3 linked regions of the Canis lupus familiaris genome follow. The protein of the gene in region 3 binds, or shares a complex with, the protein of the main gene of each other region. Links are inferred from orthologs where the notes say so. Each region holds a gene or a part of one and is shown on either strand. Other genes may lie near its edges.

Region 1 (4,417 bases), on a different chromosome or scaffold from region 3:
CCCTGATATTTCATTTCCCTTGATTTTTCACACTTGATTCCCTTGATTTTTTTCATTTCAAGTGTGTATTGTTTCACAAAATATTATTATTTCACTACAGAAAACATTTCAACATATATAGGTAAGCTACCACAAATACTCTTTGAAAAGATGTAGCAACTGTAATCATACACTGAGTAATAAATAAAAGAGATTTAGTTTCTTACCTTGACTGTAAGATCAGATCGTTCTTGTAATTTGTAAGTTTTAGAGAACAGGAGTCTAATTATCCAGAGAATCAGAATTCCTTCCAAAATAAGATGGTAAGCAGGAGCCTAAGAATGAGTCAAAAACCAAAAAAAGAAACAAAATAAACACTTCCAAAATCTGCACATAAAATGTAATGCACCTGTATATACTGTCTTCCATGACCTTTAACCTATTACTTCTTAAGATTAAAACTTAATCTTTAAGACTCTTTTCATTTCTACTCACTCCTTTCCCCATTTCTAACAGTTGGCAATTTCTCCTTCACATGGAAAATCTTTAATAGTAAATCTTTAACACCTCTATATGAAAGAAATTTAATTCTCAAAATAAAATCTGATGCAGAATCCCAACATGAGGAACAATGTCAACTATCAGATCCTTCAGATAATGTACATTTCTACTGGTAGGAAAGAACAGTAACCAACATTTCACAGCTCCACCAGCCTTCTAGCACCCCAATACACCATGGATGAGTTAGGAGTTATCAGAAAATCAGTTTCCACAATTCTTGGAGTTTTGCACATTTTACTATATTTTCCGAATCCCCGATAAGCCTCTTTAAAACCTTCTTGGATCCTGGATGAGAAAAAAAAAAAGCTTTATAAATGCCAAAAGGAATGGCAGGTCTTTTTCCTATAGCAGTTCCCCAAAAGTAGGCAGTTGCAGTGTGTTCCATGTCAACAGGCCTAAAGACACCTTACTAAAATTATCCATGCCAAGTCTTCTTTTCAACTGTGCATTTCCCAGATAAAGGCCGGGCTTTTATGTTTTGCACAACTAGACACTCTAGGTGTGTGTGGAAGATTCCGACCTTTGTAACTGACTAAACCACAGTTATAAAGTGATCCACTCCAACAGGCTGGCACTGGAAAGTCATTTAAAAGAGGTGTTTAGAACATAATTACAGATCATTTTCAAACACTAGACAAAAAGAAAGTGAAGATGATTCCTCATAGTTTAAAAAAACCTAGAATGTGGACAGAAGGAAAGCAGACAAATTCGAATGTAGGTAAATATCTAAGTCAATACACAAATAGTTTTCTAACTACATACATGTCACATACACACACTATTATTTCTCTTTTGGGTACAAGACCCCTCAAACTCTACACACTAACTATATCAAAACTGGAAACAAGAATGGAAATCTCGGGGATCTCTGGATGGCTCAGTGGTTTAGCGCCTGCCTTTGGCCCAGGCTGTGATCCTGGAGTCTGGGGATCGAGTCTCTCATCAGGCTCCCTGCATGGGGCCTGCTTCTCCCTCTGCCTCTCTCTCTGTGTGTCTCTCATGAATAAATAAACAATATCTTAAAAAAAAAAAAAAAAAAAAAGACTGGAAATCTCTCTTTAAGATGATTTTTAAACATACTGATCCCCCTTGAATACAATTCATTTAAGAATAAGGACTGTGGTCTAAGCATTCTTTCGGTTTTCTCAACAATTGCACTCTAATAGGCAAGCATCTGCCCAAGTCTCTAAGCATCTCGCTCCACAAAGAAATCATCCTAAGAAAAACTGAGATACTGTCTAGTGAATTAAATCAAAATCACAAACGCAGCTTCTTTCCCTGGGAATGTCACATCCAAGAGAACACCTCACTCTTGGTCAGTTAGGTAGCCTTCAAAAAGGAAACAACACAGAAAATTGGTCATTAAAAAAACAAGCAAACAAAAAAAACCCTTCAATTTCAGAGGCTCTTATCTCAGTTACCATAATTAGGTTAAGGTGGGCCATCACTCACACCACATCTGTTGTCAATTCTTTTTTCAGGAAGTCCTGATAAGTCTCGCAGTGGAAGACACCAGGGTCTCCCCTCGCCAGTAAGCAGCTATGTTCAGGTTTTACAGAATTATCAGAAGAAAATCTGAGGCTCGCTTTCAATGAAGAGGGGCTCTGTAATATAGCGCAGGAGTTTTTGCCCTGTTTGATCAGTGCACTAGCCCCCGCCTCTAGATCCGTAGCCACCCGTCACCACCTAACTGTGTAAAAATATACATCTAAACGAAATCAAATGAAAAATGTAGTCCCTCCGCTTGCACTGGACGCATTTCAAGGGCCAGCAGCCACATGTGGGTAGTGGCTACTACACTGAACGGCTCCTGCACCGGGTAGCGCGGCTCAGCCAGCCTTTCAAAAAACCCTTAATTATCCGGAATAGCCTTTAAAAAAAAAAAAAAAATCTCTAAAAAATTGTTGTTTCTTTACAGGACAGAAAAGGGGGCGCAAGTGGAAGAATGGGAAACGATTTCGTATTCCCAGTTCCTGAATCGTTCGGCTTTCGTGACCCCTCGCCCCGACAGAACCGAACTCCAGTGTACAGCGCTGTCCCCTGTCCCCCGCCCCGCAGCCCCCACGGCCTTCCCGGCTGCGATCCTCCGCTCTATTTTCTCCACCCCCACAGGTTTTCAAGCCCAGCCTCGCTCCCGGCCCCCTCCCACCTGCTCCTCTCCTGAGCGCCCCTCACCCCCCGCCCCCCTCCGCGAGCCCAAGGCGCCCCTGGGTCCCCGCTCCCGCCGGTGCCTCCCCCGCGAGGCCCTCCGGCCAGAGGAGCCGAGGGTCAGGGCGTGACCCGGCCAACCCCGCGTGGGCCGCAGACCGCCAGTCCGCCAGAGCCGCCCCACGCCTGCGGGGCTGGGTATGGTCGTGGGCCGCTCGGGCCGCCAAGCTCACCTCGTAAAGCGCCTGGACCATCTCCACCAGCACCCACTGCTCCGCGGCGGTCGCCATAGTCAGCCTCTGGCGCTTCCTTCCGGAAGGCGGGTCGCGGGCACGTCAAACAGCGCGCGGCGCAGCCCAGTGACGCAGCAGCGCTTGGGGGCGGGGCTGGAGAGACTGGGCCCCGCCCCTCGGCGCTTGCGCGCTGGAGGAACGCGGGACCCGAGGCTTCAGAGGCGTGGGGCTCACCTGGCGGCCGGGAGGGATGCGAGCCCGGAGGGGCTCCTCCGGCAGGTGTTGTGCCAGGACCCGTGCTGGGCCCTCGGGATGGAGGCATTAATAATAAATGGCCCCTGCCCTGGGCGGGGAGTGTTCTGTAATCAAAGATGTGCTCTTTACTTTTAAATGACAGAGGAACCCAGGAATGCATTATCATAAAAAATACAGAAATTATTATATATCATATATATAATAAACATATGTAACCTCTTATAGAGCACTTAGGGTGTGTCCTGCATAGACCAATGCTTGGAGAGAATTAAGCCATGCAGTACTTTGGTGTGGAACCTTCTAGAACCTTCTTTGGCACATGCAAATGTGGTGTGCACACACTTATTTACTTGGCTTGGATGTCTTAAATCTAACTGGGACCCTAGGGATAATAGTGATATACAATTTGCTTTTTTTTTCTATTTATTTTTTTTCTTGGGGTGTTTTTCCCATTCATCCATAAATCTTGCATTTTTCGTCTTAAAGAAGACTACGTCTTGTTATAAATACATATTTCTTGTTCCATTTTACTTACATATTTTCCTGTTAGTGGACACTTAGGTTGTTTTCTACTTCTGCCTCTGTTAGCAATAATGCAGCAGGAAGCATCTATGTGCATGTATCTTCCTGTTCATGTGGGAATATTTTTTTAATGCAATTAGCCAACATGTAGAACATGGTCAGCTTTAGATTAGAGTTAGTGATTCATCAGTTGCATGTAGCACTCAGTGCTCATCCCGTTACATGCCCTCCTTAATGCCCATCACCCAGTTACCCCAACTCCCCACCTCCTCCCCTTCAGCAACCCTCAATCTGTTTCCTGTAGTTAAGAGTCTCTCATGGTTTGTCTCCCTCTCCGATTTTTTCCCATTCAGTTTTCTCTCCCTTCCCTATGATCTTCTGCACTGTTTCTTATATGCCTCATATGAGTGAAACCATATCATAATTGTCTTTCTCTGATTGACTTACTTCACTCAGCATAATACCCTCCAGTTCCATCCATGTCGATGTAAATGCTGGGTATTCATCCTTTCTGCTGGCTGAGTCATATTCCATTGTATATATAGACCACTGCTTCTTTATCTATTCATCTGTCAATGGACATCTCAACTCTTTTCATAGTTTGGCTCTTGTGGACATTGCTGCTGTGAAAACTGGAGTGCAGGTGCCCCTTTGGACACTACATTTGTGTCTTTGGAGTAAATACCCAGTAGTGCAATCGCTGGGTCTTAGGGTAGCTC
Region 2 (4,399 bases), on a different chromosome or scaffold from region 3:
CGAGGATTCTCTCTACCCCTTCTCTGCTCCCCCTAAATAAATAAATTAATTAATTAAAAAATAACCAACACTTAATAATTTTTTTTACTAATGTCAAGGTCTTATACAAAACATACTACATGTATTAACTGAAATCCTCAGGACAACTATTATTACTTCCACTGGACAGATGAAAATACATAGCAGTCATGCAGCTAGTAAGTCACACAGTCAGGATTCAAACCCAGACCACTTCCAGAGTCAATATTCTTTACTATGACACCAAATTCTTTATGGGTAACCGAAAAGTCTCTTGTTATGATGTAGATCCACTTCCTTACTAACCCCTGTGGGAAGAGAGAACTCAAGGGGTGCAAAAATGATATTTATTATGCTCCTACAATGGCCCAGGCAGTATGACAGGTGCACAATGTTTTATTAACATATTTCTTGCAATGAGCCTGTGAAACAGGAAGTGTTAATTCTATTTTAAAGAATTTATGGGCACCTGGGTGGCTCAGTGGTTGAGCATCTATCTGCCTTTGGCTCAGGTCGTGACCCTGGGGTCCTGGGGTCGAGTCCTGCATCAGGCTCCCTGCATGGAGCCTGCTTCTCCCTCTGCCTATGTCCCTCCCTCTCTCTGTGTGTTTCTCATGAATAAATAAATAAAATCTTAAAGAAGAAAAAAAAAAAAAAGACTTTGGCTCCAAAAGCAGCTAAATATTCAGGTTTCCTGACTCTTACGGAAGTACTCTTTAAAGGAAGTCGTACAGAAAACCCCGATTAGGGGCAGATGTGAAGGGCAAAGAGACTTCCGACTTACTAAGAAATGTGTTGCTGTAAGGTGCTTGCTGAAGAACAGTGAGAGAATGCTAAAAATGCTATTCTACAGACACCCACAGAGGAATTAGCTAATTAAATAAAGGAGCTTTGTCTCCGCTGGGGATTCATACCCCAGAACTTCCCCGGGGGCAAGGGCAGAGAGGGCGCCACCTGTCCGGGAGAGCCCGGGAGAGCCCGGGACCCGCTCTGGACGCTCGGGCTCAGCCCCGTTCCTCTCCTCCAGTCTAATTGGCCCAGTGCTCCCTGGGCCCCGCCTCCTCTGCGTGGACCGAGAAGCCGCCAGCCCCGCCCCCTCCTCGACACCGGCGAGCCGCCTTGCCGCCGCCCGTGATTGGCCAGACAGCAGCACGGGACCGCCCCCTCCTCCCGCAGATTGGCCAGCAGTCCTGCCCGGCCCCGCCCCTCCGCGGGCCCGGCCCCGCCCCCCGTGACGGCCGGGCGGGTAATTGGCGGCGGCGTGCAGCCATTTCCGGTTTCGGGGAGGTGGGTGGGGTGCGGAGCGGGGCTGGGGCCGCCGCCGCCTGGGCCGCCGCCTACAGAGCCTGCCTCGCGCCTGGTGCTGCCGGGACGATGCGGCCGGGGCCCGGAGGCTGCTGCTGCCGTCGCCCGCTGCGGGCGAACGGCTGTGTGGCGAACGGGGAGGTGCGGAACGGGTATGTGAGGAGCAGCGCCGCCGCCGCCGCCGCCGGCCAGGTATGGTGGGAGCGGGCGGCCGGGCTGAGCCGGAGGTGGGGGCCGGGGCCCCGCGAGCCGCGCCCGTGCGGAGCCGCGGGGGGCGGCCCGGCGGGGCGAGGTCGCGGGGGCGGGCTCAGGTGTGCGGGCGGCGGCGTCCTGGCGCGGACCGGGCCTGGCCCGAGCGAGGGCTCGAGGGCGGCGGAGGGGCTCCCGCGTGTCTCCGCGCCTGCGGTCTCCCCACTTTCCTCTGCTCCGAGCCCCAGTGCCTTGCTGCTCCTGCGCTGGCCAGAGGTACGGGCTGACCCCGCGGGCCCCGGGAGGGCCCCCTGGGGGGCTTGGTTCTTCGTCTCGAGGCTCCCTCCTCGCGTCCTCGAGGGGCTGGCTTCCTTGCAGAGCCCTGAGACTCTCCGCGGAAAACCAGGAGGCAGAGAAAGTTAGGAGGTGGTGCCAGGCTCCTTCTCCAGGATGCCCAGCCCTCCTGCAAGTGAGGCGTGGGACCACAGATCGGGCATGACCCCCCCCCGCCCCCGGCCGGTGCCTCTCGAGCCTTACGCGCTTCCTCGGCCCCGGGCTCTAGGTCGGGGTCGGTGGTCCCCGCGGTCCCCGTGGTCCCCGTGGGCAGGAGTGCCGTCACACCAGCGGCTTGCTGACCCCGGGTGGGGGCTTGTGATGAGTCTCCATTCCGGTGAACCAAGCCTGAATCAGCAGCCAAGTCCAGAGTTCGGGGGGGAAAGAAAAAAAAATTTTTTTTGGGGGGGGGGAGTTTTGAATTGAAGACTGTAATCAGTAACAGCCTTCCAATTCTCTGGATTGACAGATTCTCCTGAAATGCGTCTTTTAAAAATGAGCCGCTTAAAAAAAAAAAACAATCAGTGTTGATGGAAGAGTGTTGTGAGATTTCAGTTGACTTTAATACTTATAAATCCCATTTAGATATATTTTTCAAAATTTTTTAATTTATCTATTCATGAGAGATAGAGAGATAGAGACACAGGCAGAGGGAGAAGCAGGCTCCATGCAGGGAGCCCGACGTGGGACTTGATCCCGGGTCTCTAGGATCATGCCCTGGGCTGAAGGCGGCATCTGGGCTGCCCCCATTTAGATATTAAGGCAAACATTTTCTTGCCCCAAAGTCCTCTTTTCCCAAGAGCAGTAGTGTGACTATTGTGATTTAAATTGGCTTTAATGTAAATATCTAGCAGCCTCCCCCCACCCCCCCCAGTCAAGTAGATGGGATAGATGGGCCTGTTACTGTTTGGTGTGGAACAGAAAATAAAGAACTCCTCCAGGTCATGTTGACATAGTAAGACTGTGAGAGTTGGAGGGAAAACACATAAAAGAGACTTGACCTCCCCCTGAAGTTGGAAGCACTGTAATGCACAGATTCCAAAGATTTATTTTCATTTTTTAAAAAAAGATTTTATTCATTTATTCATGAAAGACACAGAGAGAGAGGCGGAGACATAGGCAGAGGGAGAAGCAGGCTCCATGCATGAAGCCCGACGTGGGACTCAGTCCCAAGACCCTGGGATCACGCCCTGAGCCAAAGGCAGATGCTCAACCACTGAGCCACCCAGGCATCCCTATTTTCATTTTTAAAGGAATAATTGAGTGAGGGAGGAAGTGATAAGAACACCCTCATTATTGACCGTGTAAGGCTTTTTTTTTTTTTTTTTTTTTTTTTTTTTTTAGCAACAAAAATTGCTGTGGTAGAGAATGTAACAGGGAAACTTAGCAGGTGGGAGTCAGAAAATACGTTGCAGATGAATGAGTGGATTATGATTTTTAAGAGGGAAAAGGAAGTCAAGAGAAAGGTGCTCACACTTCAGAGGTGTTTTGTGTTTTGGTGTGCTTTTCACTTAACGTAGGAGTTATAGTCTGATTTAATAGTGAATTCCTCCCATAATCTCTAACAATCTAGCATTTGTAGACATGATATTTCTTCAGAGATTGCGGACTGTTAATAAGATGAAGACATATCAGGTTGCTAAAGTGAAATTTAAAATCTGTATGACTCTAACTTCTGGCTGACTTTTTCTAGTGTATTTTAGTGAAAAATTCCACTCAAGACACTATGGTGGCATCTGGAAGACTGGTTTAGTGGAAACACCTGAAAGAAAACTCTTTGTCACTAGTCTTTTTAAATCAAAGACTTTAGGGATATAGCTTTGTACATGAATATGAGGAATATTGTCTATTAGGGTTTTTTTTTTTTTTTTTCCTTAAGCAAAGGAGAGGTTTTTGGTAACTTCATGAGAACAAGAATATCTTTAAAATAATATAAGTTGTTTTTATTTTAATTAAAGTGGTATGTTAGTGCACCAACCCCCTATTTATTTTCCCCCACTTTCTGGGGGAAATGTTGCCAATTATGCCATAAAAATACATGTAAGATGTTAAGTGTGCAAGTGTGTGTCATCTTTTAATTATGAAAGTATAAATTCAGAGTTTTTAAACCCGAGATACACATTCATTTCCTTACGTATCCCAGCATTCTTGTCTTTGAATGAACAGGAGAGAAGTTAGAAATTTCTGGGATTCCTTTACACTCTCAAGAGTTTCTGTGTTTGAAGGAATGAATGTATATGCTTTCCCTTTGTTGGATTTTGGTCAGAGTTTGAGTACATAGATCCTGTAGTAGAAAGGGCATATAAAACAATTAAACGTTGCTGTTTGTTTTTATTTTCTCGTTTATCCTCTACTTTTTTCTTACTGTGATAAAATACATGTAATGTAAAATTTAGTATCTTAACCATTTGTAAGTGTGCAATTCAGTGACATTAAATACATTCATCGGGCAGCCCCCGTGGCTCAGCGGTTTAGCGCTGCCTGCAGCCCAGGGTGTGATCCTGGAGACCCGGGATCGAGTCCCACATCGGGCTCCCTGCATGGAGCCTGCTTC
Region 3 (4,533 bases):
GGGGCCCCCTCCAGCTTAGCTTTGACTGTTTCCCGGCAGTCCCCTAGAGAAGGTTAGGTGAGGTCTCAGAGAAGTGCTCCCCAGTTTCCCTGGGCCAGCATTTTCCTTTATGTCTTCTCACATTGGCTCAGGGTGTGTTTACAGCCGGTCAAGTTGGCATGTCATGACGTCATCTGATCCTGCTATTCCAGCCCTGCCATTCAGAGTGGACTTAGAAGCTGGGTGGGGGCAGTGAAAATCACTCAAACAAGACCTTTTTGGTGATATAGAGTGGGACTGATCAGGAGACCTCAAGGTCATTTAGTTCAACCTCCTACAGAATAACTTCCTACAACAGGTGCTTTACCTACATACTTTTGAATTCGCACAACCTTGGAGGTAGGGTTTCATAGGTGTGGCATTGGAGATTAAGACGAGTTATTTGGGGGGGATCCCTGGATGGGTCGGCAGTTTAGTGCCTGCCTTCCGCCCAGGGCGTTGCCCTGGAGTCTTGGGATCGAGTACCACGTTGGGCTCCCTGCATGGAGCCTGCTTTTCTCTCTCTGCCTGTGTCTCTGCCTGTGTCTCTGCCTCTCTCTCTCTCTGTGTGTGTGTCTCTCACGAATAAATAAATAAAATCTAAAAAAAAAAAAAAAAAAAAAAAGATTTCTTTGTTCGGGGTCACACTGCTGGTAAAGGAGTGCCTGTGTTAAATTGGCCCGGCAATAAAATCTGTGCCCTTGTCTTTGGGACATGCAGCAGAGAAAACTGTGGCCCAGAGAGGTGGAGTCTCCAAAGCCACACAAGCTGACCTGGGACTAGAATTCAGGCTCCGAACTATTCATCATGGAGTCTTCCCGGGACACGTGGCCTCTTCGACTTCTAATGTGGGGAGGCCAAGGATGCGGCCTGGCTCAGACCAGCGTGGCTCAAGTTAGCTGAAAAGCAGTCAGGCTCTGGACAAATGCTGTGCAGCATTTGTCCGGACAGGCTGCATTCTTTGCCCTCCAGACGCTGCTTGTAGCCAACGTCGTCACAAGCCAGCTTCCAGGAGGGCTTGGCAGGGCGATGGGCCCGGCTAGTCTGTTTCTTGTGGAGCCAATATATGGCCAGGGCGGAGCCGGAGAGGCGTAGTGAAAAAAAAAGTGGGGTCAGAATCTCTGGGTTCTGGTCTATGCTGGGACCCATGGGACCTATGGTAAGTCACTTAAAACTCTGAATTTCCTGGTCTCAAAACCAGGCAAGAGTAAACTGCAGAACCTGAAGCGCGCATACGCAAAAGCAGAATCGATACACGCCAAAGCAGTATCATCCGATGTGAGTTTCGCAGGCTGTTGAGTCTTCTGGCCCTGCAGCCCCAGCGAGGCCGAGACTGCAATACGCGGAGAAAACGACAACTCCCAGGAAGCACCGGGCGGGCCCGTACGCGGGCAAAGGGATAAACTACAATTCCCAGGAGGCACCGGGCGGGCAGGCGCCGAGCGGTGACGTCTCGGGGGCCGGCGCGGGGCGCTGATTCGGCCGGAGCTGCCAGCGGGGTGGCTGCCGCCGCGGGTTGTTACAGCTGCTGGAGCAGCAGCGGCCCCCGCCCCCGGGCACCCCTCCTGGGCCCTCGACCGCCGGCCCTGTACTGTGAGTACGGGCGAGCGGCTTCGGGGTGGACCAACCGGGACCCTCCTCTCGGGGCTAGAGGCGGGGCGGGATAGAAGGTGGGGGCTGCTGAGGAAGCGCCCCGGGCTGGAGCGGACCTGGGAAGGGGGAGCGGAGGTGGGAGGGGGTGCATCAGCCGAAGGGATGCCCACGGGGGGAGGGAGGGACGGGAGACCGAGTCTGGGGTGTCGCGAGGAGTGCTCGGGCCGGGGGAGGGGGCGGGGAGAGCCCGGGCTTCGGGGATAAAGGTTTGGCCGCCTCCGGGGTTGGGTGAACGCGTGGACGTGGGGGTGGGGCTTCGGACCGGGCCGGGCTGGGCTCCGAGTGCGAGGTCTCAGGCTGGGGAGCGAAGCGGGAGGCCCCTCTACGGCTTGAGGTCCCGCTCCGAAAATCCCAACAATAGCGTAGGCTCCACCTCGTTTCACCCTCCTCCCCGGCTAGTGGAGGTTCGCCCCGGTACTCGTCGTCTTTCCATTCCACTGCCCTCGCGAGTCCGGGAGGCAGGGCCAGACAGAGCTACGAGGTGAGTGACTGTGGCCCTGCGGGTTGGGCGGTGGGCAGAATGAAAATGGCATCGTGGAGTGCTGCCAGGCACTGCCCGTGGGGTCCAGGTTGTGGGCTCGGATGTTTTTGTGCTTCTCTTCGAGAAGACAAAAAAAAAAAAAAAAAAAAAAAGGTTTGCTAATTAAAGGGCTTCCCTTACTTGGGGGAAAGAATGGGAAGCGCTCACCTGGCAGCTGTCCTGGGGCACACTATGGCCTGGGCTTAGGTGCCAGACTGACAGGCGGGCAGGGATATTGGTGTGTGGAGCCAGGGTGGAGGGAAAAAAGAGTAGAGAAGAGCTACCAGCAAGAAAGTAGTTAACAGAACAGAGTTGCTGCAGGCTTTGGTTCAAGACAGGTTATGAAACCACATCAGGCACTGCCATGCAGCCACCTGCCAGCTGGGGCAACAACTTTTCAGCCTCAGCTGCTGTAGACTTACTTTACCTCTGCCAGGTTTTCCCTGTTTCTTCCCTTCACAGTGGAGGGGTGGGGTATGCAATTTTTTTTTTTTCCACTAGTGGAAGTGGTATGTACCCTTAGTCATGCAAACTTCTAGGAGAGTGCTCCTTGGGTGCCAGTTGTTTTCGTAGTTTCTTGATTTCTTGTCTTTTTGGCTGCCAGTCATTTTCTTAGTTTCTGGATTTCTTCTGTGTTTTTTTTTTTTTTTTTTTTTTTTGCGGGGGTGAGGGGTGTCTTCTGAGATTTCTGCTGTCAGGGCAGCTAGTGTTCAGTCTTTAGGAAGATGCTTCTGAGGGTATCAGTTAGGTCCTAGGTCTAGGTTCTTCTGAGACTCATCAGTCTTCATTAGATGCTCTGTTTCAGCAAGACAGGAGTGTGGGATGATCTGAGATTCACCAAAGCCCTTGGTACTGCTGGACAAAATATGAGACACAGCTACAGATCTTTGTAATCCTGTACCTTTGTAGGTCTAGGAGAAGTGGGGAGGGATAGCAGTTTCTGGTTAGACTTCGGGAACTCTGCCTCTCTCCTTAAAGACCTCACTTCCCTAGCCAGCTCCCCACTGCCCCAGGCTTTTGTGTGTACCCATCCCAGAAGCTGTGTTAGGGTAACTGAAGCTCCAGGGCCCTGGAAAGGTAAACAACTGAGCCAGTCTCGGTTTTCTAGTTCCTTGGGTTTCTGTTAGGCCCAATTATCCAGCCTAATGGGCTGAGCTGATGGGTCCCAGGAGAATTACCTCTAGGATGCACTCTGGGCCATCTCAAACATGTTTGCATGTTGGGAAGGTGTGTTGTGGGTCACATTTCCCATGAGGTCTCTTAGCTTGGAGCTCTCTGAGAAGAGGAAACTTGTTCTCATTATTCTGGAAGTAAGGAACCGATCCTTGAGAATCCTGGCTCCCACACAGACTTGGCTGTGATCCTAGCCAGAGATAGATAGCATCTGAATCTGAGGGGGTTTGTTGCAGCAGGGTGAAGGAGGTGGCCTTCTGGGCACTTTCTGGTTACCTGCACCCAGGACCCGTTTCTGCACACCCCCCCCCAAGATGGGGTTGTTACCATGGTGATGACCTTAGGGCCTTTATTGGGGAGGACCTTTCCTCACCTAGGGAGGTGAGCCAGTATAAAGGTACAGTCCGTTCCCACCTCCTGCTGGTTACAGGGCCCTTAGGGATCTGGGGACAGCTGAGCTCCAGACAAGGGGCTACTCATTCCCCTCCTTATGTGCATCCAGGAATGCATCTGGATTGCATTGTTTCTGGGGCATCCAGGGCAGCCCTCCTGGTTCCTCCTGCTGCAGGCCTCTGGCATTGGAGCTTGGGCAAGGAAAGCAGGTGCTGGGAAAAGAGGCTGAGGGGTGAGGCTGGGCTGGGCAGAGAGGAATGGGGGCAGGAGGCAGGTAGGGTTTTTGTGTCCTTGGGAGGTGGGTGTTGGTGTGGGTTTCAGCAACTTGGAGCTGTAGATGTTCTCCATCCTCGCCCCTCCTATGGTGGGGAAAAGGGCCCTGGTGGTTTGGCAGCAGAGTGGATGGCATCACAAGGGTTAGCCTGAGCGGCTGCCAGATGCATAAAACATCTCGCATGGGTTGCTTTGTGTCACCAAGAAAGAGGCCTCCAAGTCTGGGCAGAGGTTGTCCCTCGTCTCTTGTCTTCTCTTTTCTTCCTTCCCTCCCTCTTTCCACTCTGTTGGTTCTCCTGGATCAGGGTTGGGAGAGATCCAGGATTGGAGAATTAGGGGAGGGGTTAGAAGTAGTGATCCCTAAATATTGCATCTACTGCTGTGTGTTCTCATAGCCCCCACCCCCTTTTGTTAATTCTTTTTTTCCCTCCTCTTGTTAATTCTAATGGTGGGGAAGCTCAGAGGTAGGAAATGCCCCATATCAGGCCCTTAGCACAGTCCAG

What was found. The genes of interacting proteins can lie anywhere in the genome.
Region 1: the proteins of ORMDL3 (region 3) and SPTLC1 are in contact, whole or in part, in a cryo-EM structure (PDB 7K0N), measured with the Homo sapiens proteins. The link is inferred for Canis lupus familiaris from reciprocal best matches to the Homo sapiens genes ORMDL3 and SPTLC1. Residues at the interface, in NP_001307730.1 of Homo sapiens: Gly92, Val93, Gln94, Phe95, Thr96, Ala97, Lys100, Thr103, Ile104, Ile107, Tyr110, Phe111, Ser114, Tyr119, Gln121, Phe124, Thr128, Leu131, Met132, Leu139, Pro140, His143; in NP_006406.1 of Homo sapiens: Ala16, Leu17, Ala20, Pro21, Tyr23, His24, Leu27, Glu28, Leu31, Ile32, Trp34, Ile35, Leu38, Leu39, Ser41, Lys42, Thr43, Tyr44, Lys45, Leu46, Gln47.
Region 2: the proteins of ORMDL3 (region 3) and SPTLC2 are in contact, whole or in part, in a cryo-EM structure (PDB 7K0O), measured with the Homo sapiens proteins. The link is inferred for Canis lupus familiaris from reciprocal best matches to the Homo sapiens genes ORMDL3 and SPTLC2. Residues at the interface, in NP_001307730.1 of Homo sapiens: Met1, Asn2, Val3, Gly4, Thr5, Ala6, His7, Ser8, Pro12, Val16, Ser19, Arg20, Gly21, Ile22, Leu24, Ser25, Leu28, Phe63, Val67, Lys68, Gly69, Thr70, Pro71, Phe72, Glu73, Pro75, Gln77, Arg81; in NP_004854.1 of Homo sapiens: Glu65, Thr66, Pro67, Met68, Ala71, Val72, Tyr75, Tyr86, Gln116, Phe118, Glu119, Asn120, Phe121, Tyr122, Tyr127, Trp134, Asp259, Glu260, Leu261, Asn262, Val267, Arg271, Ile279, Met320, Val495, Val496, Gly497, Phe498, Pro499, Ala500.

Annotation. Positions count from the first base shown.
Region 1 is NC_049222.1:95,709,108-95,713,524, reverse strand, and holds the start of SPTLC1 (serine palmitoyltransferase 1), read right to left. Parts: upstream 3,059-4,417; 5' UTR 2,979-3,058; coding exon 2,922-2,978; intron 315-2,921; coding exon 207-314; intron 1-206. UniProt on the Homo sapiens protein: Component of the serine palmitoyltransferase multisubunit enzyme (SPT) that catalyzes the initial and rate-limiting step in sphingolipid biosynthesis by condensing L-serine and activated acyl-CoA (most commonly palmitoyl-CoA) to form long-chain bases.
Region 2 is NC_049229.1:50,716,293-50,720,691, reverse strand, and holds the start of SPTLC2 (serine palmitoyltransferase 2), read left to right. Parts: upstream 1-1,341; 5' UTR 1,342-1,392; coding exon 1,393-1,510; coding exon of another isoform or gene 1,511-1,515; intron 1,516-2,018; coding exon 2,019-2,030; intron 2,031-4,399. UniProt on the Homo sapiens protein: Component of the serine palmitoyltransferase multisubunit enzyme (SPT) that catalyzes the initial and rate-limiting step in sphingolipid biosynthesis by condensing L-serine and activated acyl-CoA (most commonly palmitoyl-CoA) to form long-chain bases.
Region 3 is NC_049230.1:22,542,586-22,547,118, forward strand, and holds the start of ORMDL3 (ORM1-like protein 3), read left to right. Parts: upstream 1-1,458; 5' UTR 1,459-1,611; intron 1,612-1,915; exon of another isoform or gene 1,916-2,152; intron 2,153-4,533. UniProt on the Homo sapiens protein: Plays an essential role in the homeostatic regulation of sphingolipid de novo biosynthesis by modulating the activity of the serine palmitoyltransferase (SPT) in response to ceramide levels.